5 linked regions of the Tribolium castaneum genome follow. The protein of the gene in region 1 binds, or shares a complex with, the protein of each later gene. Links are inferred from orthologs where the notes say so. Each region holds a gene or a part of one and is shown in the gene's direction. Other genes may lie near its edges.

Region 1 (6,814 bases):
AATCATGTGAATGTTATGTATGTAATTTTTATAAAATACATTAGGTAATACCTAACTATTGTTTTTATATTTACATCACTAAAAATAATGGTTGTTTGTCTAGACAAGTTGTTAAACAGATTTTAAATTAATATAAAATGTACGTTTAAGGAAGATTCACATTTTTTTTAGAGTGGGGGCAATGTGTTTCAAATTTAGAATTAAAGAAAAATTAAATGAAATAAACATTTTGTAATAAAAATAAATAAATAAATAACTCAAAAGCGATTTCTATTAAAGTGGTTTGGTATAAAAAAAAACATTACTAATAACAAAAAATTTTTGAAAGTAATTAATTAATAATAATTATTATAAGGATTGGTTTACAGAAAGCAAATTAAAAATTAATCCAAAATTAAACTAATTCGATTTTTTATGTCTTTTATAATGCTTGCAAACTGTATTTGGACTTCCAAAAATTGTATGTACTTAGTAATAAGGGTACAATAATGTAGAAATTGTTTCTTTTTAATTCATGCAGAACACAGAAGCTATCGATAAATACCAAATTTTCTTCACAAGATGAGAACCTAGTTTAGGGAGAAAAGGCTCAATTATTTTGTATGTGAATAAAATTAAGAAAAACGGTAGAAGAAAAATGACACGAAGTAATAGTATTGTATGTTCGTAATAATTATACCTATTGATAACAAAAACAATCCTCTTGTTGTGTTTTGTTCCGATAACAGATAAATTATTGCTAGAGCTAAAAGAAAAAACGAAATATTGATAAAATCGGTTTAAATAACAATTTTGTAGATATTGATAAGATTCCGCGCCTGATTAGGCACAAATGCAACACAAAATACACTCCACAAACCATACATTCTGATTTTATATCTGTTTGTTAATTTTTTTCTTTATGAAATTTGCCGAACTTGAAATTTCAGTGAGGTAACAGGGGTAATACTTTTTTTTAACTGTTTGTCTGTTACTTTTACTCCCCATTTCTAACACAACTAGTTGTGAGTGTAGGTAATGCAATGAAATAAAACGAGGTTTTAACTCAATAATTTAATAGTCATTGAAAATATGGTAATTACACAAATTGTCTCCTAAAATTAAGCATGGAATGGTTACAAAAGAATCTCATTATAGGCATCTGTGCGTAAAGTAGTACCACCCAATTCTAGTACAACTTATGTAAAAATACACTTTATACATGATAAAAATTCTGATAAAATTATATTCCACAAACGATAAATTTACAAAATAAGTATAGAGAAAACAACAAAATGCAATAACTGAACAGACACGGTTTATACACGATAGGAATTGAGCCTTTGAGGGAAGCCTAGCCTACGCCATCCGAATGGACTGGATAATCTGGAAAATCGCCGATCCGCACACGACGAAGATGAACAGCGCCAAGATCATGGGCCCCACTGGCGAGTTTTCGCTTTGCTGCTTCTGCAAAAGGGGCACCGTCAGCTCCCCATCAACAAACAATATGGTCCAGCGTACTCACCGACGATTTGGGCACATTCCCTCGCAAGACCACGTTCTTGCTGGCCTTTTCGTTGGCGAAACGCATCCGCTGTTTGGGAGCCATCGTTCACAGGAAAAAAATACGGAAAAGTGGAAATAATTCAACAGAAAAACATACACACGCGTTTTTGACACGTCCGTGCCTCGACACTGGCCCGAAAAGTGCGGAGAGGGGCAAGGGAGGCGCTTTTTTGACGTTTATTTGACACGTAAGATGAAAATGCGCATGCGCCACGGACGCGTGGAGAATTTCAAACAAGGGAGGGAGTGCTAGAAATTTCCAATGGGTTCATTCAATTTGCAATAATTTATGATAATCAAGTATATGCCTAGTTTTCTTGGTCATTTTCCTATCTTCTATGCATTTTTTTCAAACATCAAAAACAACGTTGAATTTGACTTTTTACCCTGATTTTTAACTCAGATTTTTCAAAAAACAAAAATTTTAAGGTGCATTTATTTCGGCACAAATTTTACATAGATATTGTAAAGGTTTCGTTACTTTTTTGTCAGTATTTTATGCGGTAAATTATGGGAACGTCGTTGAAAGTTACGGATCTTCTGGGTGTGTTTGCGGGAGCGATTCGGTTCGTAATTAAGGACAAGCGTCTCAGACTGTTTCTGAAACTATTCATTCTTGAAAAAGTCCTTTCATTCATGGCATTGGCATTAGCCATGTTGTTGAGGAGCTTTAGCGACATTTCAGGGATTTTCAAAGAGTGGACTTCGGGATTATTATCCAGCCAAGTCAATAATTGTTTCATAACTTTCACCTGTTGGTCAGGAGTGACCTAAAGAAGGATAATTGCACGTTTAATTGCAACAATTAAATTGTACCTTTGTTAGGGCTTGTCGAATTAAGAATTCATCTTTCGTCGACATCCAAATAACGGGAGTTCTTTTGCTGCAAAGCCACATGTAGTTTGATTTCCCAAAAATACTTTCCGCACATTTAATTTGTTGAGCGTGCATTAAAATTTGCACCTAGGGAGAAGAAACAAATAAATTAAAACGATTTAAATGAGTGACACCTCACCTGTTCTATGAACTGTGAGTTCATATCGAAATGTGAGACAAAAAGAACTCTTTAAGCGCATAATGAACGAGACGTGCGGTAATAATATTGCCTTTATTAAAAGATAAGCAAACAAATTTTCACGTATGAAGTGGATATGCAAATAAACGAATAGATTCGGGCTGATATGAATTTTATTACAATGTGGCTAGGTATGGAATAATTTAGATTGACGTTGTTTGAGAGTTGATAACATCTTACAACGCACGCAATTATTTATTATCTCTGAGGATTCACCCAGCAAGTCAAAATAATCGAATACGGTTCTGCAGTGTTAGGCGCTTGTATAATGTGTTGCCTAAACATGTAGTCGGCCAAACATAACCTACCGTTATTATCCCATTCAAATAACCACAAAATAATGTTTTCGCCTGAAAAATAACCGTGGACACGATGGGCGAGCCACTAACAAACGTCCTAACCGACATTCTCAAAGTTGAAGGCATCGAAGAAGCCTTTAGTTGCTTTCTAGTGCACCGCCCCAGTGCCGAAAAGGAAAAGGTGGCTGTATGGCAACAAGAGTTGAACACAGCCCTGCGGAGCATCCCCCAGGAGCAGCTAGACACCGCCCTTCGCCAGTACCTCAACACTGCTGTACTATGTTCCCAAAGCAAGCTCCAGCTCTTGATGGAGCTCCTGGAAAGTGTCGTGCGCAACGGTACCATTGGGGCCCGTATCGTGTGTGAGGTGGTGATGAATTTCGATAAACTACAACACACCAATGCGCGGTTCTGGATCGAGTGCTTTAAACTCGTGCGGAAAATTATAGATTTGGTTGAATACAAGGGCGTTCGCGAAATTATGAAAGTAAGTGGGGAATTGTTGTGGTAATTGTTTGATTGTTGATTGTAGGGATGTTGCGAGAAGGCGAAAAGTCTCCCCTGGCGCTTGAACGCGGGCTTGCAGCCCCAAACCCAGGCTCTTTTAAGCGTCGCTGAACGAATCATGGACAGGAACGCGTGCCTCCTGCCTGGCTATCTCCTAGTGAACGAGCTCCAGAAGGCCTACCCTGACTGCCCCCACTGGCGCCTTGCTGCCCTCTTCTCCGATTACGTTGGCAGTTTTCGGGCCTGTGCCCAAATGGTGGCTATCGTAGGCCAGGCGGAAATGCGGCCAGTTGTGGAGCACAGCGGCTGTCCCGAACACTTGGTCAATCCCTGGAAACTTGACCCGTGCACGTTGCGATTCTCGCTTAAGGGCACTTTACCGTACGCTCCCGAATTACTAGAGAAGCAAACCGGTTTATTACGATACGTTCTGGAACAGCCGTACAGTCGCGACATGGTGTGTGGCATGTTAGGGTTGCAGAAACAGCACAAGAGACACTGTGCCGCCCTTGAGGAACAACTGGTCGAGTTGGTGATTTTGGCGCTGGAACGCACGGAAAATGAGGGCGATGAGAGCGCCACTCAAGGGTTATGGCTGCACTTGTCGTCCCAGTTAATTTATTTTGTTCTTTTCCAATTTGCGAGTTTCCCAAACATTGTTATATCGTTGCATTCGAGACTGCAAGGGCGCGACTTGCGGAGAGGGCGCGACCAACTCATGTGGGTCCTCTTGCAGTTTATTTCCGGTTCGATTCAGAAGAACCCCCTCTCGAATTTCCTCCCAGTTTTGCGGCTTTACGAACTGTTGTTTCCGGAACAGGAGCCCCCTTTGCCCGTTCCGGACTTCAACCAGCCCCAGTGTACGAGACAGATGGCAATGACGTGCATTTGGATCCACTTGACTAAGAAAGCGCAAGCCGAAATGACCAACTTGACTTGGCCAATTCCCGCCAAACTACGCAACCATCATGATTTCCTCCAACAGTTGGTGCCCCCTAATAACACCGTGTTAGCGATGGGAAATGACTACAGAATCGCCTTGTTGTGCAACGCCTACTCAACGAACCCCGATTATTACAGTAAGCCAATGGCAGCGCTAGTTGAGACGATCCAAGGGAGCCCCAAATCAACAGCCCCACCTACCGCGCCTTTAAGCATGGCCGTCTTGGACTCATTAACTGTGCATTCGAAAATGAGCTTAATCCATAGTATTGTCACACACGTGATTAAACTAGCACAGGCCAAGTTAGGAATGCCACTATCACCAGCTTTGGTGGAAACGTACAGTCGCCTGTTGGTGTACACCGAGATCGAATCGTTGGGCATCAAAGGGTTCATAAGCCAGTTGTTGCCAACCGTATACAAGTCACACGCTTGGGGCACCCTTTACACACTTCTGGAGATGTTTAGTTATCGGATGCACCACATCCACCCCCACTACCGTGTCCAGTTACTCAGCCACTTGCATTCGTTGGCAGCGGTGCCGCAAGCCAACCAAACCCAACTGCACTTATGTGTCGAATCGACCGCTTTGCGTCTAATCACGGGGCTGGGCAGTGGCGAAGTTCAGCCCGAACTGAGCCGCTTTTTAGCCGAACCCAAGACGTTAATTTCGGCGGAATCGGAAGAGTTGAATCGGGCGCTGGTTTTGACCCTAGCTAGGGCCACGCACGTGACGGGGGCCGACGGCTCGTGGTGTCACGAGTTGCTGGCGACCATTGCACAAAGTACCCCCCATGCGTGGGCCCCCCACACCCTCGAATGCTTCCCCAGGGCTCTGGCCGAGTTTTTCACGCAACATGCCGTCCCTAAAGAAAACAAACAACAATTGAAGAAAGCAGTGGAGGAGGAGTACCGGAAGTGGTCGTCCATGAACAACGAAAATGACATGATGGCGCATTTTGGGGTTGCGGGAGCGCCCCCACTTTTCCTCTGTTTGTTGTGGAAAATGCTCCTCGAGACTGATCACATCACGCCAATTGCCTACAAAATCCTGGAGAGGATTGGGGCAAGGGCGCTTTCGGCCCACTTGAGGAAGTTTTGTGATTGTCTCGTGTTCGAGTTTAGTAACAGTCCTGGGGGGCAACATGTTAACAAATGCGTGGATACGATCAATGACATGATCTGGAAGTACAATATTGTGACAATCGATCGGTTGGTCTTGTGTTTGGCGCTGCGGACGCAGGAAGGGAGCGAGGCTCAAGTCTGTTCGTTCATCATCCAGTTGGTGTTGCTTAAAGCTACAGAGTTTAGGAATCGGGTGCAGGATTTCGTCAAAGACAACTCGCCCGATCATTGGAACCAGACCAACTGGCACGAGAAACACTTGGAGTTTCACCGGAAATACCCCGAGAAGTTTGCCCCCGAGGAACAGTCAAGTGGTTACCACCCCTATTTTGGCAACGTGTGTTTGCGCTTTTTGCCGGTTTTTGATATAGTGGTGCACCGGTTTTTGGAAATACCGCAAGTCACCAAAAGTTTGGAGATTCTGTTAGAACACTTGGGTTGTTTGTACAAGTTTCATGACCGTCCGGTCACTTATTTGTACAACACTTTGCACTATTACGAGACTAGGCTTAGGGACCGTCCACCTTTGAAACGACGGTTGGTGGCTGCTGTCTTAGGGACACTCAAAGACAGTCTTTCGGAGCCCTACCAACTGTACCTCGGACGAGCTGCTGACGAGATGTGGACCCCCGAACTGGACTATTACATACAAGTGGTCAAGCGAGTCGTTGATATTCTAGGGGGCGCCACTGCCAATTCCGTAATTGATTGGCGGTTCAATGAGTTCCCAAACGCCGGGGCTCATATTCTTTACACCAGCTGTGTGGAACTGATGGCGTTGTCCGCCGGTCCGGTGGCCGTAGCCAACGGTTTGCTAGACGTCGTGGCCAAAGGCTATGTCACAATTCCCTCGTCAGACATCCACCAGTGGGTCAATGCTGTTGGTTTAATTCTGGCAGCGCTTCCAGTTAGCTACTGGAGTGTTCTACACGATCGACTTGTGGCCACGTTAAACGAGCTAGAAACGTGGAATTTTGACTGTTCTCCCTTCCGTTTGTTCGATTTCAAAGAAACCCACGCTGGGCTTTTGCATAATAATTTTAGTTATATGCTAGCTTTGGCTCATTCGGTTTGGCATCACGCTGGTCCGGGGCAGATCGCCAGTGTGCCCCGATGGGCGCGTGAGTGTTTACCGGCTGTGGTACGGTCCGAAGAACAGTTTCTCTATGTTTGTCATCTTGTGGGGCCCTTTTTGCAACGGTTTAACGTGGCAATAGTGGAATTGACGAGTGCTTTGTACGAACTGTTGGCACAAGTTGACCACGCGCACAGCGAGTTGAAATATATGGACCCGATCTGCGATCTCTTGTACCACATT
Region 2 (6,808 bases), on another chromosome or scaffold:
CTATCGGGCATTGGCCATTTGCGAAAGTTTGAAATACGCCACCGGTTTTGTCCTCCCGACTATCATTACATATTGCAAAGGTGATTTTTTGGGTCGAGCCCTGGAGTCTCTCTACTATCAATTTTACCACACCCCCGAAAACAAATTGAGTGTTTTTATCAACGAGTTATCATCGAGAGCGGTTTCGGTGCGAAAACACGCAATTTTCCTCACTTGTCAAGTAGCAACAGCCGAAGACACCCAAAACTTAATCAAAAAATACCTCGAGACGGAACGTAATATCTCAGTCCAGAAACACTTATTTACCGCCGCTTTGAAATATTTCACTAAAAATCCCTCTGAGGATTTTTGGGAATGTGTCACGATTTGTATGACGAATTTGGACAAAAACGACAATGAGAGTTTCGATTTGTTGATCGATGTGTCTAAAATACCACAAAAATACAAAGGGAGACACGTAATGTTGGTGTGGGAAATGTTGAAAGTATCGGAGGATTTAGCCCCGAAAAGGACAAGTCTATTATCGTCAATCCCTTCGGATGTCTTCAAAGACTTCCCTTTGCATTTTCTGACCGAAATTATCACAAACAATTTCCTACAATGCAACTCCAAGTGCAAAAACTCGATCAATGATTTCGTTATCTCAACCATACTTCACACGAGTTACACGAGCGATATTATAAATTTAATCTTCGATATTTTAACCAAAGTTAAAACCGCCTCATTTGTAACTCTCGGAGAGGAGAAAAACGCGCGTCAGTTAGTTTTACGTTTTGTTGCAAATTTTGTTTCAACGATGGAAACAGACGAGGGAGATTATCAAATACTTCAATTATTTTCCGACCGTTGGCACGGCCTGTTTGGGGTTGGCGAAGCGATTCAAGAACACTTAAAAATCTCATTTGCGTTGTTTAATCTCGAGGCAAAGAAAGATTTAATCAAATTTAGCAACGCAGTTGCTGGACTTCTCAATACTTTGGTGCCAAAATACGGTATTGTTGTTGTAAACGTTTTTGCAAGCGAATTGAAAAATTCTTTGGCCTCGTTTTTGCGTTGTTACGGCGACTGGAATGAAGATTTTTACAAGTTTTGTTTGAATTTACTGGAAAATTGGAAAGACCTAACAATTTATTTATTGGTTATTAAACTTTTGCCCAGTAAAGAGCCGTCACAAGACCAAACCAAAGCCATGTTCAAGGAAATTGTTGATCGACTCAAGCAAGTTCCCGATGAATCTATTCAACTGTTAATGAATCTTTATATAACAAATATGGAGTAGAACTAAGAATTTATGCTTTTGATGGTATTTTGATAACATTGTTAGAGGATATTGAATAAAGTAACTAAATACAATTATTGTTGTTTATTCTGCGACAACAACGATTAAACATAACATGGTAGATAAAATATGAGTAACAATGAGTTGGAATTACGGAGGACTGAATCACTCAATTTTCTATACCAAATAAATAAAGTCGGTTTCGTATTAATTTAACTCAACCCCTTCCCAAAACTTTTAGCCCCCCGTAGTTGGAATTAACAATGGAAATGTTCAAGTAGAAATCGTTAAAAATTAAAATTGCACGATAAGCAAACCAAAAAGCATGGCTAAATTTTGGCACTTGATGAGTTAAAAAATGACAAAAAATGGAATTTTAAAAAGCTACGACTAGAATCCGCAACTAAAGTTTAATTATGGCGTAAATGAGATTACTGATTGATTTATTCAGCCATTTGAAGTAACGAATTAATGGTACCGTCTTTATTGCCCCTGTTGGCCTCAAACACGGTCTTAATCACCTCTTTATCGATATTTGGAAACATTTCCTCGATTTGTTTGAGCTCGGATTCACTCAAAGCAGGCGCGGCTTCAGTAGGAGGCGCTGTAAACACCTTCAAGGGTGTGACATTGCCCCCTGTTACGTTGGGCACCACCATAACAGGCGCCGGTGGTTGATATTTATATGAAGGGAACACTAGATAACTTAACACGAGATTAATCATTCCTTCGACACCTTCACCCTGTTTCCCATTTAATGGGTACCAATCCTCGTGGGTTTCCCCTGCAAGTACCTGTTGGGGGATCTGGAACTGCGTCCAGGCGATGAGTTCGTCCATCGTAAATGAGCGTTCGTCGAAAATTTCTAACGTTATGGTATTAATACCTTGAGGCAACAAACTGGAAATGGAAAAGTAGGGACTTGCTAGTTTTTGAGATGTGTTTACCAGTGAATAACTTTGTTCCATCGCGGGTTTTTGCCGCCGTTCGGGTCCGTATGCGTCTCGTAAACGCAATGCCCGACCCGAATCCGAGCGTAGGGGTCCATTCTGGTCATTCCGTAATTTTTTGCGAGCTTAGCTTGAGCAACAGTGATACTGAGCCTCCCAACGACATTTGTGTACTGTTGGCCACCGCTTAGCTGGTGGTGCAGTGCTATGGCTGTTTGGCGATCCGCTGCCTCTTGTTGTTGCTGAACCGAGGTGCTGATACGGAGAAAATCCTCCGGGAGGGGACCAAGGAGGACCTAAATTTCGGCATTAAAGCACGATTTTTTAAATCATTGGCACCTACCCGACTTCGCCTTTCTCTGACTTTGTCCGTTAGCGCCGATGCCATGGTGTTACACTATTTCAGATAAAGTAAAGACGCATTAATTCACTGTTTGCGGTGTTTGATGACAAATAATCAGCTGTTCACGGCAGACGTCAACACGCCTGACACTAGGGGAAAAAATATAATCCCAGTCTGGGATTAAATTTTATTAGTTTCTGGCGAAAATAGCCAGGTAGTTTTGGTTAAATGCAATCTACTAATAATTCTATTCAATTGATTAGTTTTCCAGACAACATTTTTGCATAATTTGGCTAAAATAAAATTTCATCTGAATGAAAGTGTTGCCATTAACTTGACGTAACATCCCTAAAAATTTGACAGGTATTTTCAATATGGCGGGGTTTGGTGCTTGTATTAAATTGTTTCATTAAAATTGTTTAATATTTTGACTAAACAATGGTTGTGTGTCCAGCTGATCATGGCTTACACGCCGATATCGTTTTTGTTATCGAGGGAACTGCAGTGAATGGTGCTTATATAAATGACCTAAAAACCAATTATATCATCCCTTCGTTAGAGTAAGTTTACTTTTTTTTGTAACTTCTGATGTATTACATGTTTTTCTCTACTACTGCTAAATTGTTTTTATTGCCTATTTGGCTTTACAGTCCTACTTGAAGTTATTTGATATTCTAGATATTCTTTACCTTTCCCAATTTTCTTTTGCACCCGTCACTTTTTTCATCCATTCTTTTCCCTTACCATTTTCGTTTAAAACTTTTTTTCGTATCAAACTTGCACACTCTTACCTCCACAAACTGTGACACTCTCCGCTTAATCTGCACACTGTTTCCCAATCTTCTCTCCAATATTCGTTCTCGCTTTCATTTCTACGTCTAAATCTGGCTATGATTTTCTTATCTTTACTTTACATCTTCCTTAAGTATGAGAGGAGTTCATCCGTCAATAAGCACGGCATATTTTACGTATTACACCTCGATTCTTTTTTCCATGTTATTCTTTCCTGCCTATCTATGTCCAAATCTCTCAATTTCAGTTCCTCTTCCATTGTTCGTCCCCTTTCTCTTATTCTTTTAATTTCTATACACACTTATTCCTTCTTCTCATAGGAGTCTTTTCGTCCTTTCCATCTAACATTTTCATTTGCTTTTTTGATTTCTGTTCAACACTGTTGCATTCACGCAGAATTCTTAATTTCTCTTCAAATCCCACCGCTCTCTTTCCTTAATCTACTCTTAATTTTTTTCTCTTCCTTTTTTTACTATGTACTCTGGCATTTGTTTATTTAGCCTGTTCGATCTCGTATTTCTTCCATCCCCACACTTCTGCTCAAAATAGTCCCTACATTACAGTGCTTTTCCCTAAGCTATTATTTTTCTCTTGAAATTTTCACTAAATTTACGTTCTCCCAAGCTTCAAACATTTCCTAAAACCCCATTTGTTTTTTTTTGCTGCTTCTTTTATATGGGCTGTGTCTGACATCTTGCTACTTATTACTCTCTTCTAACTGAAATAGTGAAGATTGACTAAAATAATACAGTACATATCTGATTCAGATACTTCAAGTCTTTCACTTGTTCTATATTTTTCCTTCCCATTGCCATTCATCCTCTTTTCCGAATTCCCATACTACTTTTCTTTCCAAATATCATCATTTTTGTTGTATCTACATCTACATTTCCAATCTTTTATTTCTCTGTTTTTTCTCGTGATGAATTCTGAACGGATAGTTGAACAAGGTTTGAGGTACTGAGAAATCAGTGTAACCTTGCTTTGTTATGATAAAAATTACACCCTGATACGAAAAAGTAGTAGTAGTAGTTTTTAATTGGAGAATATGTTCTTGTAACTGAGGGACTTTTAGATATTTTAGTCAGGGGAGTATTGATGAGAGCAACTTCCTATCAGAAGGGATTAATTCTTATTACGGAATTGTGGTGTATCAGGCTGCTGATTGCTTACCGCACCCCAGTAGCGACACAATTGGGCCCTTTGTAAGCCCCAGTAAGGTATTAAATGCCATAGACAAACTTGAGTAAGTTCTAACTAGGAAAAGGATCACTTAATGTAAAAATTATTTCAGACTTATAGGAGGTAAAGGCGAGTCTCATGCAAACATTGCTGAAGGTTTAGCCACAACCCTTCAATGTTTTGACGAATTGCAGCAAAAACGTGACAATAACGGCAACATTCAAAAGCATTGTATTCTAGTGTGTAACTCGCCCCCTTATTCTCTAGGGGTTTTTGAAACTCATGCTTACACAGGGAAGACAGCTGAGCAACTAGCAGCTATTTTGCAAGAAGTAATTAACCAAGTGTCTTCCACCAAATTTGCATAATTAACTTTCAGAAAAATATCAATTTGTCGATTATCTCGCCGCGCAAAATCCCCTCGTTGTATAAACTGTTCGAGAAAGCCGGCGGTGATTTGAGCGCTTCCCAGACGAAAAACTACGCCAAGGACCCCCGTCACTTGGTCCTCCTGCGCGGCTTCAGCCTGAAGGAGCGCCCCCTGAGCCCCCCTGCCGGTACCGCCACTTCCGCCCAAACCCAAATTTCTAACACTACCATTCCTATAACCTCTCTCCCCAGCCCCTTAGCCAGCAATGACAGCCCCATCTCGTCATCCTCGTCCGCCAACTCCGGGGTTCCCTCAGGAGTGGGCCCATCGCCCGTCTATCGGCCGCCCAGCGCTCAAGGTATAACCCCCCAACACTCACAAAATGTTACACCAGGCATGGTAGGTATGGTGAACGCCCGAGGGGCCATGATGGGCAACAACCCCATGAACATCCCGCAATTGCCCGCACCGCCGGGCTACCACCAAGCGAACCGGCCCAGATGGCCAGCTATGTTGCCCCCAACGCAGCCCAGGTCGTATCTGCCGCCCAACCAACAGGTTAATACCACCCAAAGTAGCGCACTGATTGCACAGCTGACACAACCCCCGAATTCTATGCCGGGGACTGGGGTTAATCAATTTGGACAAAGTAAAAGAGAAGTTTTTGAGGTGTTTGAGGTAAATTGCGTGTTTTAGTGGGGAATAATTCGCCGCTTAATTCGCAACAGCAACAACCCCAAATGAAAATTAATATTATGAATCAGCAAAATCAGCAACCAAATGTTCAGACGTCGATGTCGCAGAATCCCAACAGTGGGATACAGACCACCTCAATTGCGCAGGTGTCGCAGCCGAATCAGGCCGGTACTTCCCCTGGACAGGTATTTATAAACAAAAAAACATCTGTTCAAAAAAAGGCTTCTTCGATCTCAGAAACTAAGAGATTTATCAGAAAACACATTATTTACTATTTTCTCTTAGTATCGGAACTAGTGCACCCCTTTGTTAGGGATAAAGGGATATTCAGAAGACTAGTTCCAAAGTGTACATTCTCCATTTTTTTAATGTAAGATATATGAGCAGTGTGATGTAGTTTTTAAAACAGAGTTTAAAAAAAATAAATTTTAATTGCCAGTATATTTTTTATAAAGAAAATCTCATTTATCTCTAAAGTGTACACTATACATTTTCCTCCAATGTATTACGTACTTCGAAACCGTGTAACCTCCTAAACTACTAATTAAAACAGTTAAATATTAATTTGTAAAATGAGCAAAGTCCGTTTGGTACATAATCTGACACAGACCCAATTCTTAAACTCATGGGAAAAAATTCCGTTGGGAAAACAAAATTGCTAGGTGTTCTAAATGTTGACTGCTAACTGCCAGCTTCGACTTCAACAATTTTTTATCGCTTTTTTGATAAATGATTAATTACTTTTGTATTAATCAAATCAAACATGTTTAAACATAAAAAAATAAACTCATTTTTTTAAGATGAAAATTGTTACTAGTCTTTTTACCATACGTGGATAATGTTTTTTTACTATGTTCGCTAAAAACCTTGTTAAACATTGCTCACAGGTTGTTCTCGATTTTCTTTGACCTTTAGAAGGCCAGTCATAGCACCTGCATTGTAGTCCTGGGCTGCATTTATTCTAAATATTTTATTTATTTCTATTTATTCTTTTTGGTCCAATTGTCCAATGGACCAAATTGTAGTTTTTCATGTAAATAAAAAATTAATATGCATTCTACGGCGTTTTGCATTGTACATAATACATCCTGTAAACATTTAAAATACATATATAAAAGTTAGTTGGAATTTTTTTGCATAAAGAAAATTTGTATTGTAAATTATAAGCAACGTTGGTAATTACTGTTCACTTGTAA
Region 3 (6,788 bases), about 27 Mb from region 1:
ATCTTAACCCGTTTTCACGGCGTTTTGAAAAATGTGGGACGAAACGTAAATCTTATATTTTTTTCTCACGTTTCTCGTGAAAATTTAATCGTCACTTTATCTCAGTCTGCTAAGAATGCAAAGCTTAATAGTTCTGTATTTTTTCCAAGAAATTACTTTAAAAAGAAATATACTTTTGCGTAACCGACTTTTATTTAAAAAATAAACCACAATATCTCGTAATACTTTATGGTAAGGAAAAACCTGAAACAATCAAAACGTTACAAGAAATTTTGACAACTTCGAGACTTCTATTAGAATATCTTCATCGTCGCTTTCTGACTCCGTAGCTGAATAATTCAAATCTGAACTAGCTACACTATTTTCCCAATCGGAATTTGAGTCAGAATCGACCGCCGTATCATCTTCTAATTGTTTATTTGATGTTATCACATTGGGGAACATCTGGAACAAAATCAATCAATTTTATTTACGCACAATTGAAATCAATTAATAAATTACCACATCTATATCACCAGTCGAGGACAATGGGTTATGTAATAAATTAATTTTGACACAAGTCATTGTAGTGAGTACACTTTCCGGAATCGAATAAAATTCGTTAAAGCGCAAGTGGAGGTATTTCAACTGTTTTAATTTGGATATATTTGAGGGAATATAATGAAATTTGTTTTCAGTCAAGTTGAGGTGTATTAAAGACTGTAACTTATCGAAGTCTTTAGGAACTGTGTACAATTGATTATCTTCTAAAGTAAGCCACCTGAAAAAAATCAACAGTAATATCCATCACAAGAGGGCGAGGTTAAATTGAAAATTATTTTCTAATTTATCGAACTCTCCTGTGCTTTTATGTGGATTTTTTTTTATTAATAGGCATCATGAAATTATATAATATTTAATTGTATCTGTTTTTTTAGAAAGTTTACACAGTAGGCGCTAGTAGATAAGTAATTAATCTCACGAGAATAATAGTTATTTATTATACAAGACGATAAAATCTGATTTTAACTATGAGAAGGTTTTGAGAAGATAATGGTGCATTTTATCGTGTAAAATACAAAATTTTATTTCTCCTCCATTTTTTTCGATTATTTCGAATTACTGAGTTATTTTGATTAACAATTATAAACATTAAGAAATTTAACAATAAAAAATACTTTAAAAACAACAATAGTTGCGAACTATATTTTTCTAGGCGACAAAATTCCGTTTTACCATAAAGTAGACAGTGGATAAAATACGATTTTATCCAACCAAAAGCATTAACACACTCGGCTTCGCCTCGTACTACTTTTTCGTTGATAAAATTCGACCTTGTTTCACAAGAGAGTGGAATAAAGTAAAAATAATTTGTCGATTTTTCGAAAACTAAAATTCTTTAATTTTTGGGTAAGTGTCATACTTACCTCAGTTGCACTAAATTACAGATTCCATCTGGTAACTTTGTTAACAGGTTATGCCGAGCCCCCAAGGTTTCCAACTTTGTTAAATTACCAATTTCTTCAGGTAAAGACTCCAGATAGCAACGGTTACACCATAATGTTTCTAACGAAGTTAAATTTCCAATATCTCTAGTCAAGTCTTTAATCGGATTATGGCTTATGTTTAGAGTAATCAACTGAGGCAAATCCTTGAGTACTTCAGGGAAACGATCGAAGTTATTGTACTCCAGAGACAAATTTTGCAAATTCTTGAGCTGTCCGAGACACTTGGGCAGTTCAGTGATTTGATTATGACCAATGTTTAGATATGAGAGGTGGACACAGCTCACCAACAAGGGGGGAAATTTGACAAGGTCGTAATCATCTAGCGCTAAATTCGTTGCTTTAGTTCCATGAGCTTTTTCTATTTTTGCCAAAACCCGGTTTCGCTGAATGTAATCGTACACTGGATTCATTTTTGGAAGCATTTAGAGGTTATGTCGCACAAACTCACTGATTATTTACACAACTTGTACACAAGCACACATTTTTGAATAAATAAGAATCCAAAAAAGAAAACTGGGGGCCCGAGCCCCTACACCATTCCCAACACAAAAAAACACACAAACAATAATTTGTTTGTTGTCACAAGTGGCGCTTTGACATTTGAAGTAGTTCAAATCAACCAAACATTTTCGTATCATATGGTTCGAACGAAACAAACAATAAATAAAATAAATAACAAAACTGAAAAATTAGCGTTCGTTTGTACTTAATTTTAGTATTCTAAGGTCTACAGTTTTAATAAAAGAGGTCGTAGGTTAAAAAACACCACAGTAGTTCCATTGGTTGACACTTGTCACTTGACTGAGTTTCTTTGACCGGTTTCTTTTGCTTTTGTGTTAATTAATAATTGACTGGAAGCTTAAAGTTATTGCCTGTGATTTAATTCAACTCAGATTAGTTTGTGCAATGGCTGGAAATTTTTGGCAAAGCTCACACCAGTAAGTTACGATATGAAAACGGCCCCAAAATCACAAATGAATTTTTTCCAGCCAGCAGTGGCTTTTGGACAAACAAGATTTAATTAGGGAGCGCCAACATGATCTCCAACTCCTCACGGAGGAGGAGTACCAAAAAATATTTATATTTTTTGCTAGCGGTATTATTTATATTAGGTTATTATCAACTCTCTTAATTTATTTTTTCAGTCATTCAAACACTAGGCGAACAGTTGAAGCTACGCCAGCAAGTTATAGCAACCGCAACGGTTTATTTTAAGAGGTTTTATGCAAAAAACTCACTTAAGTGCATCGATCCGTTATTGTTAGCCCCCACTTGCATTTTTCTAGCCTCCAAAGTAGAAGAATTTGGGGTGATTTCCAATTCTAGGTTAATTACAACGTGTCAGACAGTCAGTAAGTTAAGTCACAGTCTCCGTGATGGTCTTAGATGGCTGGTCTAAAAGTTACCAGATATAATTTTCCCAAGTTTTTGTTAAAAAAATTACCGAAAAGCATCCAACTTCGGAACTACGGATATCTAAAAGTTAGGATATGGTACGACGTACAAATAAAACGTTCCTGTCCTTGATATTTCCGTTAATGCCGCCAGAGAACGCTGTTGTTCCATTACCAAGGTTTTCAGAGCAATAAATTTGAAAAAATGGTTGTATTTGTATAACGGTTAACACACAGCAAACAAAAAAAATACAGGCAAATAGAGCATTAAATTCTCAATAGTAGGACATAAACATAATGCAAAAATTTTATCATAAACTATATTTAAAAAAATTTCAAACTTTTACCAATTTGCACTCTGTCCCATAATTTTCAAAACGCTGCGAATACGGTTACAGATATAAATAAGTATATACTATTTTTATTCGAGGGACAAAAATTGGATAAATAAGTCACGTCGAATTTTTTTGAACTTAGGGATCAAATTTTATAAACAGAAACTCTTGAAAAGATTAAAAATATATTACCGGACAATCGTTTAATTTTTTGAGATAAATTGCTCCAAAACTAAAATTAAAAATGTCTATTTAATGAAGTATTGTTTATTATTAATTGACTGATCCAGAAATACTGTCTGTTGACAATACTGAATTAAAATTTTAAATGTTCAAAATTAATTGAAATTTGGTATATGCCTGAAAGTAAATTTATTCATCGAATTATTTGTTTAAAAAAAATTTCCATTTGTTCTGGGAATATTAAGACTAGCTAGTCTCATTGGTGAACCCAAAAGTCAAATTTAATATTTTTAATTATTTATTAATTTAATTTAATTTATTATGTAAAAAAAATATCGCACTAAAAAAATTGGTCAGCTTTGTAAATCTTGTCTTTATCTAAAGATAGCTCGTTGCCGCCTCAACTTTTACCAAAAAATAAGTAAAAGTTAATAATAATTGAAAGAGAACACATTTAATAAAAAAATGAGTTGTATTAATACTTATTAGCGCCACTGTATTTATAAGCATTGGTTGTTCTTCGTTAATTTATATGCTAATATCTAGCTTTCAAGTGTTCAATTTTCTCTAATAAATGTTTTTTTGTAGTTACGACTTTTTTGCTTAGTAACTTCAGCAATTTTTTTATTTCAATTGTTTTAAATTGAAAAATAGCGCTCTAAAAAGATGTCTATAAAATTGCGTATCAATTTAATTTTTTTCATTAAAGTTCAAAAGCATATAACATAAAGGTGCGATTTAAAGAAAATTTAAGAATCACGAAATAACTTAAAAATACGTAAAAGTAGTTACAAGGTTTTTGTTTAGCAGGTCAGTTTAATTCTCTACAAATTTCTTCCTAACATTTTTCTGTATCTTTAATTGTATTCGCAGCGTCTTCTTAAAGCACAAATTAAATAAAAAAATTCTCATGTTTGTCATGAAACTTGTAGTCGTCAGTCTTTCTTAGTCTGTTAAGAGTGCAAAACATTTCTACATTTTTTCCACGTTATTAATGAATTGGTTGGTTTTAAATTAATTTAAAACGATTTGGCGACAAGACGGTATAACGCTCGTAGCGCCCTCAGTTTTACTCTGCCGTACTATTTTTGGTCTCCTAACTTATAGTCCTCCGTATTCAGAACATACCACTCAACAGGGCGACCTCTCGCGGTTATTTAATTAATTACAGTTTAAAAATCCAAAAATTAATATTATATTCTGTCGTTAATAATTTCAAAGCCGTCTAAGATCGAAGGAGGCTAAGTTAAAACTAGCTTTTTTAAACAATCTATTTTCAGTTAAAAATAAGTTTAGTTACGCCTATAGTCAGGAATTTCCATATCGTACGAACCACATCCTAGAGTGTGAATTCTACTTGTTAGAAAACCTCGACTGTTGCTTGATCGTCTATCAGCCTTATAGACCTCTCTTACAACTAGTGCAAGACATGGGTCAAGAAGATCAACTTTTGACTCTCGCCTGGAGGATAGTGAACGATTCTCTTAGGACTGATGTGTGTTTGCTTTATCCACCATATCAAATTGCAATTGGCTGTCTTCAAATAGCTTGTGTCATCTTGCAAAAGGACCACAAGGCTTGGTTTGCCGAACTGAACGTGGACATAGAACGAATTCAAGAAATTGCAAGATACGTTATTAATTTATTCGAGCTGTGGAAGACTTACGACGAGAAGAAAGAAATTCAAGGACTGTTGAATAAAATGCCTAAACCAAAACCTGCCCCTCAAAGATAGAAATCGGACGATTTCTACGTGACTTTACGCTTATAACTATCACTTAAATATTTATTCTTTGATTCAATTCAACATAACTGTGCTAATTTCAGAATAAAGTTCCTAGATTTATGAAGTGTTTTATGTTATTTCAATGGTTGCTTTGTTGCGGTATGAGTTTATGCCTCCGCATGTTGTTAATAACACCGTCCAAAGACGTAGTTTTCTTCTTGGCGCTGCCTTTCAGTGCTTCCTCTCCTTTGTTTCGAATTTTGAGGCGTGGGGACGTAGTTTCGTCCATAAAATCAAAATCGGACTTATCCTCAGTCCTACAGACAATAATTAATAATTGTGTAAACACAAACCATAAATTTTACTGTTTTTGCTCAACTTCAACCGGAGGCGGCTCTTCCACTTCCGGAGAGGGTGAACGGTATCCAGGACATTTCCAGTTCAGTTCAGGAATTTCACCCTTGCTTAATTGATCGTAAAGTTTTTCGATCACTTCAGGAGGGGGCTCCCAAGGGCCTTTTATGTCTTTAAATTCGTCGTCGGAGCACTCTATATCCCAATTTTCGTCCATTCTCTTGTAAACATTTTTGTTGTAAAAGTTAGGTTATGTTAAAAAAAAATTACATAACCTCAATCAACTCCAAATGTCACTTCAGAGCGCTAAATTTAAAAATTTGAGAGATAGAAGGCGAAAACTAATCAAAATAAGCTCCATTCTTCCATTCTTCTGTAAAATTGTTCGTTAACGTCCACAAAATAACAGACTGTAGAAAAATAACAAAATCTCAATCAATTCGTAAAATCGAGTTTGTTTTTGACGAAAGTACGGATATCTAAAGGTTAGAAATAAAATTACGTACAAATAAAACGCTACCGCCTTCGATAGTTCCGTTAATGTCGCCAGAGAGCGCAGTTGTTCCATTACCAAAGTTTTCAGAGCAATGAATTTGGAAAAATGGTTAACACATAATAAACAAAAAAATACAGGCAGATAGAGCATTAAATTCACAATAGTAACAGAAACATAGTGCAAAAATTTTATTGTAAACTATATTTAAAAAAAAAAATCAAACTTAAACCAATTTCCACTCTGCCCCATATTTTTCAACACGCTGCGAATACGGTTAAAAACAAATAAATTTCTTACAAAAAAGTCTGCGAGACCATACAGGGTGATCCTTTTATTAGAAACTTTTTAACTTGTAAGATAGCTAGAGTTTTAAAATTTTGTATAGATCCAAATCGACTATTCTAAGTTCAACTAAATTATTTTCAAAATGGCTGACCATCCGGAATTACAAAAAATTGCCGCCATGTTTGAAATGCAATAAAAATGAGTGGTTACTATTTAAAATTTCAAAGTTGGCGCCAATTTCTCTTAGTTAAGGAAAATCAGCCATTTTGAAATAATATAGTTGAACTAAAAATTATCGATTTAGTTATAAATATAAAATCTTAAAGCTTTAGCTATATTAGAAAATAAAAAGTTTTAAAAGAATAAGCCTGTACACATATCTTGCTCGAAGCGCCCTCATTTTTACTCTGCCGTACTATATTTTTGAGTTATAGTCCTGCGTAGTTTAAAGGCAAGTTTATCGTAATTATTTATTCTATAAATCTTCACTTATAATTTTCTATAATATTTAATATTTACAAAATACAC
Region 4 (5,341 bases), on another chromosome or scaffold:
CGGCCTTAAGGCCCCAACGTTGATATTCAAATTGTGTTTGAGTTTTCCTGGTTTGTTACTAGAAAGCGAAAAAAAAATAAAAAGATGGTTAAATTTGTTGTACTAACGTCTTGTTTGCGTCAAGCGGGGGCGGTTTCTCCACGCTTTCCTCCTCTTGAACCTGATTGGGGGTTTCGTGGTCAGGGGGCGGGCCTTCACCCTGATTGGTTGTTTCGTGGTCAGGGGGCGGGCCTTCACCCTGATTGGTTGTTTCGTGGTCAGGGGGTGGGCTAGGATCAAAAAGTGCTTTAGCCGACGTTGACGCGAACAAATCATCAGGTTCAAATAGCGAAAGGCGTGGTTTAGGTTTTGGAGACTCCGCCTCTTTTTGCGTTTCACGCCTATCGACATTAATGGAATTTTTATCGTCTGGAATTGCCATTAAATCGGCGAATAAATCGGTGGAATTTTTCGTTTCTGGTTTTGTTGGTGCAAATAAATCGTCATCGAAAAGACCAGAAGTGAACTTTCTTGTCGCATTTGACGAGAAAAGATCGTCTTTAAATAAGTCATCGTCGTCATCAAACAATGTCACTTTTTTCGGTTTGACACTTGGCTCCTCCTCAAATAAATTGACGCTCCGCCCTTTTTGTGGTGATTTTTCGTTTTGCTCATCGTCACTGGAGCTTGGCTGTCGCCTCAACAATTTTTTATCGAACAAGTTGCCACCGCCGAAAATTGAAACTCCGCCCACTGGTTTAACAAACTTATGGTCGTCGGGAACTAGAGGCTCATCACTTGGCTCCTCCTCAAACAAATTGACGCCCCGCCCCTTGGGTGACGATTTTTCGTTTTCCTCCTCGTCGGAGCTTGGCTGCCGCCTTAATAATTTTTTATCGAACAAGTCGCCGCCCCCAAAAATTGAAACCCCGCCCACTGGTTTAGCCACCTTCTTGTCGTCTAGGGCCGGCGGCTCGTCGCTAAACAAGGGCATTTTGACAGGATTTTGTAAATAAGAGGTGGTTTTTTTCGTAAAAATATCATCATCATCGCTATCGAACAAGTCCTGTTTTGGGGGTTGTCTCAATTCGGGTTTGGGGGTTGGGGGCGTGGCTTCATCATCGTCATCAAACAAGCCCTTACCCCCTGAAAACAACCCCTTAGGTTCGTCCAAAGGCGGCGGTTCATCGAAAAATAGGTTATCTGGAATTAGCGTTTAGTCTGCGGTCCGCTTCCAAAAACAATTACCGTATTGTGGCGTTTTCTGGATTGGCCGTCGATTGACGTACTCTTGATCAATCACGTTCCCCAATTTCGCCGCCAACTCTTCGGCAAAGTTGGTAGTTGGTTGCACCGGAACTGAGTTTTCACTATCACTCGAATTGACGAAATTTTTCGGTTCAGTTCGCAAGTCCTCAGAACTGGTATCAGAGGTGCCCTTGATCTGGAAAAAGAACCAGATATTGCCCATGGCGACTGGATCGCGACTAAACAAAAAATTCGGTTGGCCGGTTAATAGACCAATAAAATTATGATAATGAATGGATCAAGTGCAACTCAACCAGTGGAAAAACATGTGTAAAGTACCTGTGTTCTGTCGGGAATAATTGGCAACTCTGATTCTGAGTCGCTTTCACTGAAATTATCTGAGACTTTCTCAGTTTCGCTATCGCTGGACGAGTCCTCCAGGCCCACGTGCCACGTCTTTTGCCACTCTTCTGAGCCGATTACGTACGGAAGGGGGCGCTCCAGGTACAAGTCTTTGGGTCTGAGGACAAAACTGGAAAAGACAAACTAGTTTTTGTAAATTATTTAGAAAAAAATTACTTGGGCAAGTCGATATCGTCGTCTTCACTGTCACTGACCGACACCTCAACCTTCTCAAAATACGTCTCCAAGACCTCCAAACCCTTCAAAGCCGCCAACCTGATTTCCTCAGTCTTATCAACCTCTTTCTCCTCGGCTTTCGCCTCAACCGGCTCCTCCAAAGTCTCATCGTCCTCATAAACCCGACTTTCAATAAACTGGCTGTTTCGCAAACTTTGAAACTCGTTTTGGGCTATATTCAACTGGAGACTTGTCTCAGACAGGGAGCTTGTCAAATTTTGCAAGTTATTGTTGATTTCGGTTGTTCGAGTCAGGAGATTCTAAAAATTGAACGCTGAAACGGTTCAATGTGGGCCAAAAATGCGAAATACGTCTGCAAAAGCCTTGAGAGTGTTCAAAAGGGCCACATCTCCGGCTAAATTCCAATTGTCCGAATTTTGGATTATTTCGTCCATGGACCATGGTCGCTCCCACGGCTTGGCCCCGGACATTTCTAAAGCGCTGAACAGGCCTGTAATTGCTATTTTTCATTAATAATAATAATAATTTGACATCTGTCAAAAACTGACTTGGGGACTTTCAACTCGTGGGTTGGCTATTACTCCCCGGTTTTGCGTTATTATTTGATTAAATAAAACCAATTAATTTGTAAATAAAACCGTTCTACTATATTTGAAATCAGGCGTGATAACTAAAATGTAACTTCGGCCCGGTGGGATTAATTTACGCAGACTTTACCCAACCAGATTTGGGTTGGCAATCATGTGTGTTTGTTTTTGCAAGATGTCATTCACCTTCTAGTATTATTCTAGTTATTTCGTACGAATTAATATATTTTGTCGCATATTAAACCTCGGGAGATAACAAATTATCATCAGTGTTGGTTTTTATGTGATTTCGGGTCTTATCACTTGTCGGTGATTGGGTAACATAACCTCAATGGCCGATCGTTTGACCCAGCTCCAGGATTGCATAAATCAGGTAATTCCCCCTAAGACTGTACCACTAATTGCATTCGTGTTGTCGCAGCAAGCCGAGCATTTCTGCAACAGCATTGGGATTTTGCAACAGTTCGCCCCTCCTAGCAAATTCCCAAACTTCGACAGGAGTGGCTCCCAAACCCCCCAGCAACAGAACCAAGAAGACTACGTCCAGTTATTCACAACGTTGATTGCGCGCTGTGCCAAAGACATAGATACTTTGATTGAATCGCTCCCGAGCGAGGAAAATTCAACCGAATTACAGGTACCTATCTACAATGACTTGGTCCGACCGCGGACTAAACACTGTTTCAGTTGCAAAGCTTGCGAATTTTGGAATCAGACAATCAAGAGTCTGCTGAGCGTCTCGAGGCTATAGTTCGTAAAGGTCAGGATCTCTTGGAGCAAATCCAGGCGGCGTTGAGCGACATCGCCCAATCACAGCTGGACATGCAGCATTTGACAAAAGCGGGGAGTAAGGATAGTTAAGTGAGCTGTTAATGAATTTTATTTGCGGTTGTGATGAAAAACAAACACAAATAACCATGTACTATTTACAGAAACATATATACAAATAAAAAAGATAATTTAAATTTTATATAGTAACTAACTCGGTTTAAAGTCTGTCTTGTTTCCCTTTAATTAAGTGTTCCTCGACACGTGGCCGCGCCACACAGACACGGGATTTTCTCGTCCTCGATCGGGAATTTGTAATCGTAAGTAATTTCCTCGTTCACACCTATGCTCTGTTTCGAGTAGATCACTATTTTCTTTTGCGACTCGATTGTGATGACTTTGGCGTAGCAATTCGGCTGTAAAAATCATTTTTTCGGGTTATGGAAGACTGTCGCTTAGGAAACGAAACGAGATACAAAATCGTACCCAAAATGTAAAAATGAGGGCGCTTTGAGCATTATACTGTCTCGGCGCCAAGTCGTTTTAAATTAATTTAAAAACAAATGGACAAATCAAGAACACAAGAAAAATCCTACGAAGAAATTTATGGAGAATAAAATTTTCTATTACACGTACACCAAGAATCATTTAAAAACACATTGTACCTACACCGTTGAAAATGGAAATATGTTGTCGCAAACTGTTTTATAGGAAATTTAATTCTCTACAACTTTGTTCCTTACACTTTTTTCAACAAGCGATTTATTCTTTAAAATATTAAAACATTATTAAATTGTTCTATGTTGTGTATAATATTTTGTGGTTCCAAGATATTAACACGAAACTAGACTCACCACAAAATTATCGCATCACTTAAATTGCAAGATTTTGAGTGTTAAGAGATTGAAAATAGAACTGAAATTGATGATATAAGATAATAGAATTCTCAAGTAACTTTCACTTTTTTTAAAACATTTGGTTAAAAACATGGCTAGCTAATTAAATGTCAAATTATTAAAATTACAGCAGGTCGCGTAAAACGGAGGCAGTTATCAAAGCTCGAGGAGGTAATATCTCCGAATGCTAAACTTGCCTCAGTGCCCTTAGTAGACCTTATGCAAGCCAAAAAAAAAAAACCACTGATCCGAATGAAATTGACTTTTTGACTTTTTTATAATCATGTTGTTGACGTTTAGTTAATTTATCGTTAAGTAGTTAATTAATTTATTTTTTAAATTTGATTAGTAAAAAAGAGACTTTCTCAAGTGATGCGATAATTTTGCCGGTGAGTGTATAATTAATATACAGGGTTAGGCTGCAAAAATATCTTTTACTATGGACAGGTTTATACATAGAAGCGATTAACTGATCACGTGACCAAATTGAAACAATTTGGATCATCCGAATGCATTGTTAAGTTTTAACTTGTTCAATTTTAATGGATCTTTCTATAAATAGGTCTTATACCTCAAAAACTAACTAATAGCGTCGCTCTGAAATCAGCGTTTTGTTTTAAATAAGTATTACTTTCTTTTTTTGTCTATTCATATATTTTTTTATATTTTTTTACATTATATTAATTGTAGCTATTAAAATGTACATAGCGATAGTATGATATATAGTAATTTGGAAGAGATACATATTATTATATACAGGGTGTCTCAAAATTGACGCCCATGCTTTGGGAATTTGATTCAGGGGGCTAATACAAATCGAAAGTTAAGAGTAAAAAAATTTCCAATTATTCTTTGTTATCGAGTTATTGATAAAAATGGAAATAATAAGCTTTATGTTGTCTTTCCAATTATTTATGCAACATAATTCATTAGTTGATGTTAGCGATGTTAAAATTTTTTGAATCGCTTTCTCTAGTGACAAGTATTATTAATTTCCTTCGGTTTTGTATGTTTAAAATGATACAATATTCCTGCATTAGTGCATTCGAAATTTTGTCGTTATGTTAAAAGCTTGGCTATAAGTTAGGTGTGTGTATGATGGCAGTGCCACTGCTGAGGCTAGTGCATATGTGGAAAAGTTTCCAAATCGCATTGTAGCATATTTTGGGACTACAATTATGGTAAATTCGCTTTAAATAAAATTTAATATTTACATTTTAAATTTTAGTTTTTTACCAATAGCTCGATAACGAAGTTCAATCG
Region 5 (5,150 bases), on another chromosome or scaffold:
TTCGTCAGCGGCTGTGAATCCTGCAAACTCTACTTGACCTGCCGTCACCTATCGTCGATCATCGCCGTGCTGGAGGCCGATTTTACGCCCGATTACAACACCACTGCTTTAGTTCCTACCTATTTTCCACCAGTACACCCAAGGCAAGCATTAAACAAGAGGTGGGTATCGAAAAAAATGTAGGGTGTAAATATCCGATCCTGACCTAGCCTAGCGTTATCTGATGTCGGTGTGAGCATGAGTCAGATTCAATTATCGCTATCTTCCCCAAAGATCGATCGGTCGGCACGTGGGGCCCCGACCTTGGCTCAGCCTTCGCCGAGGGCGTCCCGAATTGGGTCTCGTCCTCGTCGAGGCCTCGTCTAGGTCAGGGTCGGAGGCCGAAATTTCGACGGTCTGAGTCAAGGTATAGCCGTGACAAAGGACAACGCGGTTGCGTAAAAGGCGAGCAAGGACAGGGCCGGATCATCATCGATCCGTGCGAAAAGTGTAACAGTCGGTCACGCGGGCCCCTTATCGCCCTTCAGATCACAGCATATGGCTAATTGGGCCGGACTGAGGGTGGCTTTGCTTGTAGGTGCTCAGGGGTGAATCACTGCAGCTTCATTCTCACCGAGGATTGTCCCGATGCACATTTGTGGGGCACTGGCCGGCTGAGGGTCAAATACGTCTGCATATCAGGTAGTTATAACCGACGTGAAAATCGCCCAATCTCCCGGATATCGAAAACCGCACACACGTTCATAATCCCTATTATTAGCCGCTTTAAGCCCCCATCCATTTTCCAGAAAACGAGATTAGGAAGTTCTGTAACAGCGAGATCCTCCTCTCCGGCCCCTCCGAGGGTTTTATCCACAACCCGGGCTACCCCCGATTTTACTCCAGCCAGAGACAATGCCGCTGGAAGCTGCGAGCCCCTCGAGAGCAACGCATTCGTGTCACTGTTTTGGACATCTCCATCACTGGTAATAAAAACCAATAGCGCTCCCTAAATCCCCGCTAAAAAAAATCCAGCCGACAGGATAACGCATCCTGATGAATGCAGCGACCGGCTTGAGATTCTCGATTCGGGCCAGTTGGTCCAAACCACGTGCAAGCCCCAAGACCCCCCGCTGGAGGTGGTGTCAGAGAGCGAGTTCGTGGAGGTGGTGCTGGTCTCGGCCCATTCGCTAGTGCCCCTCAGAGGCGTGCTTATACACTACACTGCCGTGGGGTGTCCCACCCCCGACGCCCCTGAAGACGGCTACCTGGTCTATAGGAACGAAACAGCTGCAGAATACAGGTGCTGCATCAATCGGGCCTTTGAAGACGACGGACAAAAAACCAAAATCATCAACTGCGAGGGGGCCAAGTGGGACGTCGACCTCCCTCTGCCCAACTGTACTAGTAAGTTTGATTAGACGCTAAATGGAATTGACCTCCGACCCCGCTTTTTAATTTTTAATGAGATAAAGTGTTGTGTGCGAACAAAGATAACGCCGAAACTCCACATTTCGTGCTTTGTGCGAGTTTGCTAGTTTGGATAAAACAAAGATAAACTGAACGTAAGCCCTACAAAACAATTTCGCATTCGATGAAACTCCCAAACAAAATCTAATTATATTATGGAGTCTACGCCTCTGCCTATTGACTTGTTGGTGTTTCCGTTCAACAAAACGTTCCCGTATTGCTTTATCTCTCTCGCGATGCTCAGTTGTCAACGGAAAATCGTGTAGGAACCACGTGGATTACCTAGAGGCGTTTTTCGCGATAAAAAGAATTGTAGGAGTTTGCACTAACGAGGCAAATAGTGAGTGTTTCTAGAGTTTTTTTTCATGTAATTGTATTTTTAGCGTCCAATTAGACAAAGCAGTTGAGGTTATATTGTATTGTTATAAAAAAAATCATTATGAAAAGTTTTGTTGTTATCAAATTGCGGAATTGCGCTTCAGACCACATTCATTAAGTCAGCGGCGACTCGTGAACAAGGCTAAATTTACTCATTTTTTCAGAAAAACTTCAACAAAAGCCTCTGCTAACTGTTCAAGACATCGGAAAATCGAAAAATATCGAAATGGTTTCAGGTAACGCATTTTATGATTTGTTTAGGTTGCTGTTAATTTTTTTTCAGATGTTTTAGCACCGGCCTTACTCATAGCGGCTTTATTTTTGATAAATTTTATGGTTCTATTTTACATTTATAAAATTAAGCAAAAGTAAGTTGCTAATTTAGACTAATTTTTTTTCATCCATTGATCTTGTTTTTTTTTTAGACACGCTGAAGAATTTGCTGACGAAGAATTAGGAACGTTGCCACTGTCAAGTTGTGAGAAAGCCTCGCCTTGAATTATTTATTTGTAAAAATGACACTTTTATAATAAAAGTTTTATTTAATAATCGCTATTTTATTCCACCACTTTGAAAGTTGCAGTTTGGCGCGTAAGAACACTAGGAATTTTCGTTAGCTAAGGTTTACCAAAATAAAAACGCAATTTTCAAAAAAATTTATTGTTATAAATCAAATCCAAAAATACGGTAAATATAAAACATATGTTTACATTATGATTCAAGAGATAAGGGGTCAACGACTTTGAACTTGTAGCATTTTTGACACCTAGCTAAGTTGGCACCACTGACGATCATTAAGCTATAATAACCTCAATTTAGCCCCCAAAAATCCACTTAAAATGGGGGTCACAGTGTTACAACAGTTCCCCACAGAGAACCGCACGGGGCCCTCCACCATTGAGCTCCTCTCGAAGCGAATTTCCGCCCTGGGGGCCCTGCAACAGGGCCAGTTTCTCGTCGATTGCGAAACGTTTACTTCTTGTGCCGCTTTGGGACACCAACGTACAGTCCACGTCCTTCACAATTCCGAGCAGCCGGCGACTGTTTTTTCGATCCTTGAGACAGGCCAAAAGACCATTCCTCTCGCAACTGACGGCCTTTTTGATCTCCTGATGATGAAAATGTCCGGTTTTTACTCATCAAAAAAACAGACTAAGGCCGAGTCGAAGGGGCCGCGATACGAAATCGGTGATTTTTGTGTAAAATTGGGAACAGTGACTGTAAGTCAGAACTTTCGGGGGGTTCTGGTTGAAGTAGAGTATCGACCATGTGTGGTGCCTGCGATGTGTTGGGAGTTGATGCGGGAGTTTCTGCAGGGGTTTTTGGGGTCGTCGGTGCCTGCAACGCCCCCACCGTATTTGCAAAACAGGATGCAGGAGTTGTATACCCCCATTGATACAATTCATCAGTATTTGGAGCAGTTTACGATATTTAGGAAGGCCCCCGGTTTAAGGCCCTAATTTTAAGCTAATTTATTGTAAGGTTCAAAGTTTTTGTAAAGAAAAAATTAAATAAAAACAATTTTGAGGTTATATTGTCTTTCTCTTTTACTCCCACACATTAGACTATTATGCGTCTTTGTCTAATTACATAATTTGGAAAGTTGATTGTTCACCTCTATCAGCACTTACGTAGGGCAGAATGTGATAGTGGTGATGAAGCAGTTTTTTTTCAATAAAACAGCATGAAAACATAATCATGCGTTTGCGGTAATTGTTCCTTACTTGAGAGAAAAAGCACAAAAATGAGTGAGATTGAGAAAATCCGGGTTGGATCCCGGAAAAGCGAGGTATTTATCACGTGTTTGTTATTGTGGGCTCTTTTTCATTTGACATTTTCAGCTGGCTCTCATTCAAACGCGACATGTGATTTCACTGCTCAAAAAAATTCATCCTGGGAAGGATTTTGAAATTGGTGAGGTTTCGCAAAAAATTCCCAAAATTTATTTATTTATTTCAAAAATTTATTTTTAGTAACAATGAGTACATTAGGAGATAAAGTCCTAGATATACCGTTACCAAAAATTGGTGAAAAATCTCTCTTCACCAAAGAACTTGAAGCAGCTTTAAGTACAGGCTGTGTAGATTTTGTTGTACACTCATTAAAAGATCTTCCAACCGTATTACCTCCAGGAATGGCAATTGGGGCTGTTTTGACTAGGTTTTTCTTAATTATTATTGTAATGATTATAATTAGCTTTCGTAAAATTTAGAGAGGATCCGCGGGACGCTCTAGTGTTGCAAAAAGATCATGACAAATATTTATTAGAGACTTTACCAGAGGGAAGCGTCATTGGCACCTCTAGTCTACGGAGGGGAGCACAATTGGCCCGAAAGTACCCCCATCTCAAGGTTGAAAGCATTAGAGGAAATTTAAACACTAGGTTAAAAAAATTAGATGAGTTGGGGAAATATCAAGCGATTATTTTGGCCTCTGCGGGTCTCATTAGGATGGGGTGGACTAGCAGAATAAGCAAGGTGGGTTTTATATGTTATATTAATATGTCACTTGTTATCTAACTTCATTTTTTACAATTTTGTATCAAAAATACGTATATTTTTGCCACTAATTAACTTGTTATATTGTTTTTTCCTTATCACTTTGTGTATGAGACAAGAATATGGCAATAAAATCCAAATTAGTTGTTTGAAAAAAAAACGACATGACAAATTCTCACTTATCTAATTTATTAAAAACATTTTTTCCTGTTTTAATTTCACACAAATTGGGACGTAATCATGTTGTTTATTGTCGTTACTGCATTTTACTTTAAAATTATGACAAAACCTTATTTAAGTTATTCAATGAAAAAATCTAGATTTTAGATTCTGACGAGCTTTTGTACGCCGTTGGCCAGGGAGCCTTGGCTGTGGAATGCCGCGAATCGGACGAGAAAACAATCGAGCTCCTGAAGCCCCTTTACGACGTCCAAACTGCCCTCCGTGTTATATCAGAACGCAGCTTCCTCAAAACCCTCGGTGGGGGCTGTAGTGCACCAGTCGCAGTTTCTAGCGACTTGTCCCGCCTCAAAGACAACAAACACACTTTAAAATTGAAGGGTGCCGTGTGGTCCCTTGACGGCAAAGAAGAAATAATCGAAACGGGAGAATGCGAAATCGACATAAAAAATACGCAACGTTGCACCGCTTGTCCTTTTAATACTAGCAACCAGAGCACTTCTTGTGTCCGAGACATCGAGAATTTAAAACGTTGCGACACTTGTCCTGACCAAATGCCGGCCAAAAAAATCAAACTGGACGAAATTCCAGTAGAGGTTTTGAAGAACGACCCCCACGAACATTGCCCAGTGGCGTTACCCATTG

The links.
Region 2: MED23 (region 1) and mediator of RNA polymerase II transcription subunit 25 share a complex: the UniProt entries of both Homo sapiens proteins name them as parts of the mediator complex. The link is inferred for Tribolium castaneum from reciprocal best matches to the Homo sapiens genes MED23 and MED25.
Region 3: MED23 (region 1) and CycC share a complex: the UniProt entries of both Homo sapiens proteins name them as parts of the mediator complex. The link is inferred for Tribolium castaneum from reciprocal best matches to the Homo sapiens genes MED23 and CCNC.
Region 4: MED23 (region 1) and MED21 share a complex: the UniProt entries of both Homo sapiens proteins name them as parts of the mediator complex. The link is inferred for Tribolium castaneum from reciprocal best matches to the Homo sapiens genes MED23 and MED21.
Region 5: MED23 (region 1) and MED20 share a complex: the UniProt entries of both Homo sapiens proteins name them as parts of the mediator complex. The link is inferred for Tribolium castaneum from reciprocal best matches to the Homo sapiens genes MED23 and MED20.

The regions. Positions count from the first base shown.
Region 1 is NC_087394.1:35,202,786-35,209,599, reverse strand, and holds the start of MED23 (mediator of RNA polymerase II transcription subunit 23), read left to right. Parts: upstream 1-2,995; coding exon 2,996-3,409; exon of another isoform or gene 3,410-3,454; coding exon 3,455-6,814. Other genes in the region: stress-associated endoplasmic reticulum protein 2, read right to left, coding at 1,339-1,449, 1,508-1,591. UniProt on the Homo sapiens protein: Required for transcriptional activation subsequent to the assembly of the pre-initiation complex. Component of the Mediator complex, a coactivator involved in the regulated transcription of nearly all RNA polymerase II-dependent genes.
Region 2 is NC_087402.1:9,088,414-9,095,221, forward strand, and holds the start of mediator of RNA polymerase II transcription subunit 25, read left to right. Parts: upstream 1-2,912; 5' UTR 2,913-3,010; coding exon 3,011-3,132; intron 3,133-4,439; coding exon 4,440-4,610; intron 4,611-4,658; coding exon 4,659-4,878; intron 4,879-4,925; coding exon 4,926-5,274; intron 5,275-5,319; coding exon 5,320-5,565; intron 5,566-5,612; coding exon 5,613-5,797; intron 5,798-6,808. Other genes in the region: toll-interacting protein, read right to left, coding at 1,723-2,179, 2,227-2,525, 2,573-2,617. UniProt on the Homo sapiens protein: Component of the Mediator complex, a coactivator involved in the regulated transcription of nearly all RNA polymerase II-dependent genes.
Region 3 is NC_087394.1:8,424,210-8,430,997, reverse strand, and holds CycC (cyclin-C), read left to right. Parts: upstream 1-2,264; 5' UTR 2,265-2,393; coding exon 2,394-2,425; intron 2,426-2,476; coding exon 2,477-2,583; intron 2,584-2,632; coding exon 2,633-2,839; intron 2,840-4,679; coding exon 4,680-5,134; 3' UTR 5,135-5,245; downstream 5,246-6,788. Other genes in the region: leucine-rich repeat-containing protein 1, read right to left, coding at 253-444, 502-760, 1,407-1,909; Pa1 (PAXIP1-associated glutamate-rich protein 1), read right to left, coding at 5,265-5,442, 5,491-5,696. UniProt on the Homo sapiens protein: Component of the Mediator complex, a coactivator involved in regulated gene transcription of nearly all RNA polymerase II-dependent genes.
Region 4 is NC_087401.1:8,392,289-8,397,629, forward strand, and holds MED21 (mediator of RNA polymerase II transcription subunit 21), read left to right. Parts: upstream 1-2,557; 5' UTR 2,558-2,745; coding exon 2,746-2,787; intron 2,788-2,835; coding exon 2,836-3,051; intron 3,052-3,101; coding exon 3,102-3,275; 3' UTR 3,276-3,384; downstream 3,385-5,341. Other genes in the region: FAM21 (WASH complex subunit 2A), read right to left, coding at 1-58, 108-1,182, 1,228-1,423, 1,567-1,759, 1,807-2,126, 2,178-2,297; Set1 (histone-lysine N-methyltransferase SETD1B), read right to left, coding at 3,425-3,598. UniProt on the Homo sapiens protein: Component of the Mediator complex, a coactivator involved in the regulated transcription of nearly all RNA polymerase II-dependent genes.
Region 5 is NC_087398.1:428,202-433,351, forward strand, and holds MED20 (mediator of RNA polymerase II transcription subunit 20), read left to right. Parts: upstream 1-2,530; 5' UTR 2,531-2,666; coding exon 2,667-3,287; 3' UTR 3,288-3,359; downstream 3,360-5,150. Other genes in the region: uncharacterized protein LOC103313212, read left to right, coding at 1-161, 578-681, 789-965, 1,015-1,386, 1,992-2,063, 2,111-2,195, 2,253-2,325; Hmbs (porphobilinogen deaminase), read left to right, coding at 3,572-3,616, 3,669-3,741, 3,801-3,987, 4,040-4,304, 4,646-5,150. UniProt on the Homo sapiens protein: Component of the Mediator complex, a coactivator involved in the regulated transcription of nearly all RNA polymerase II-dependent genes.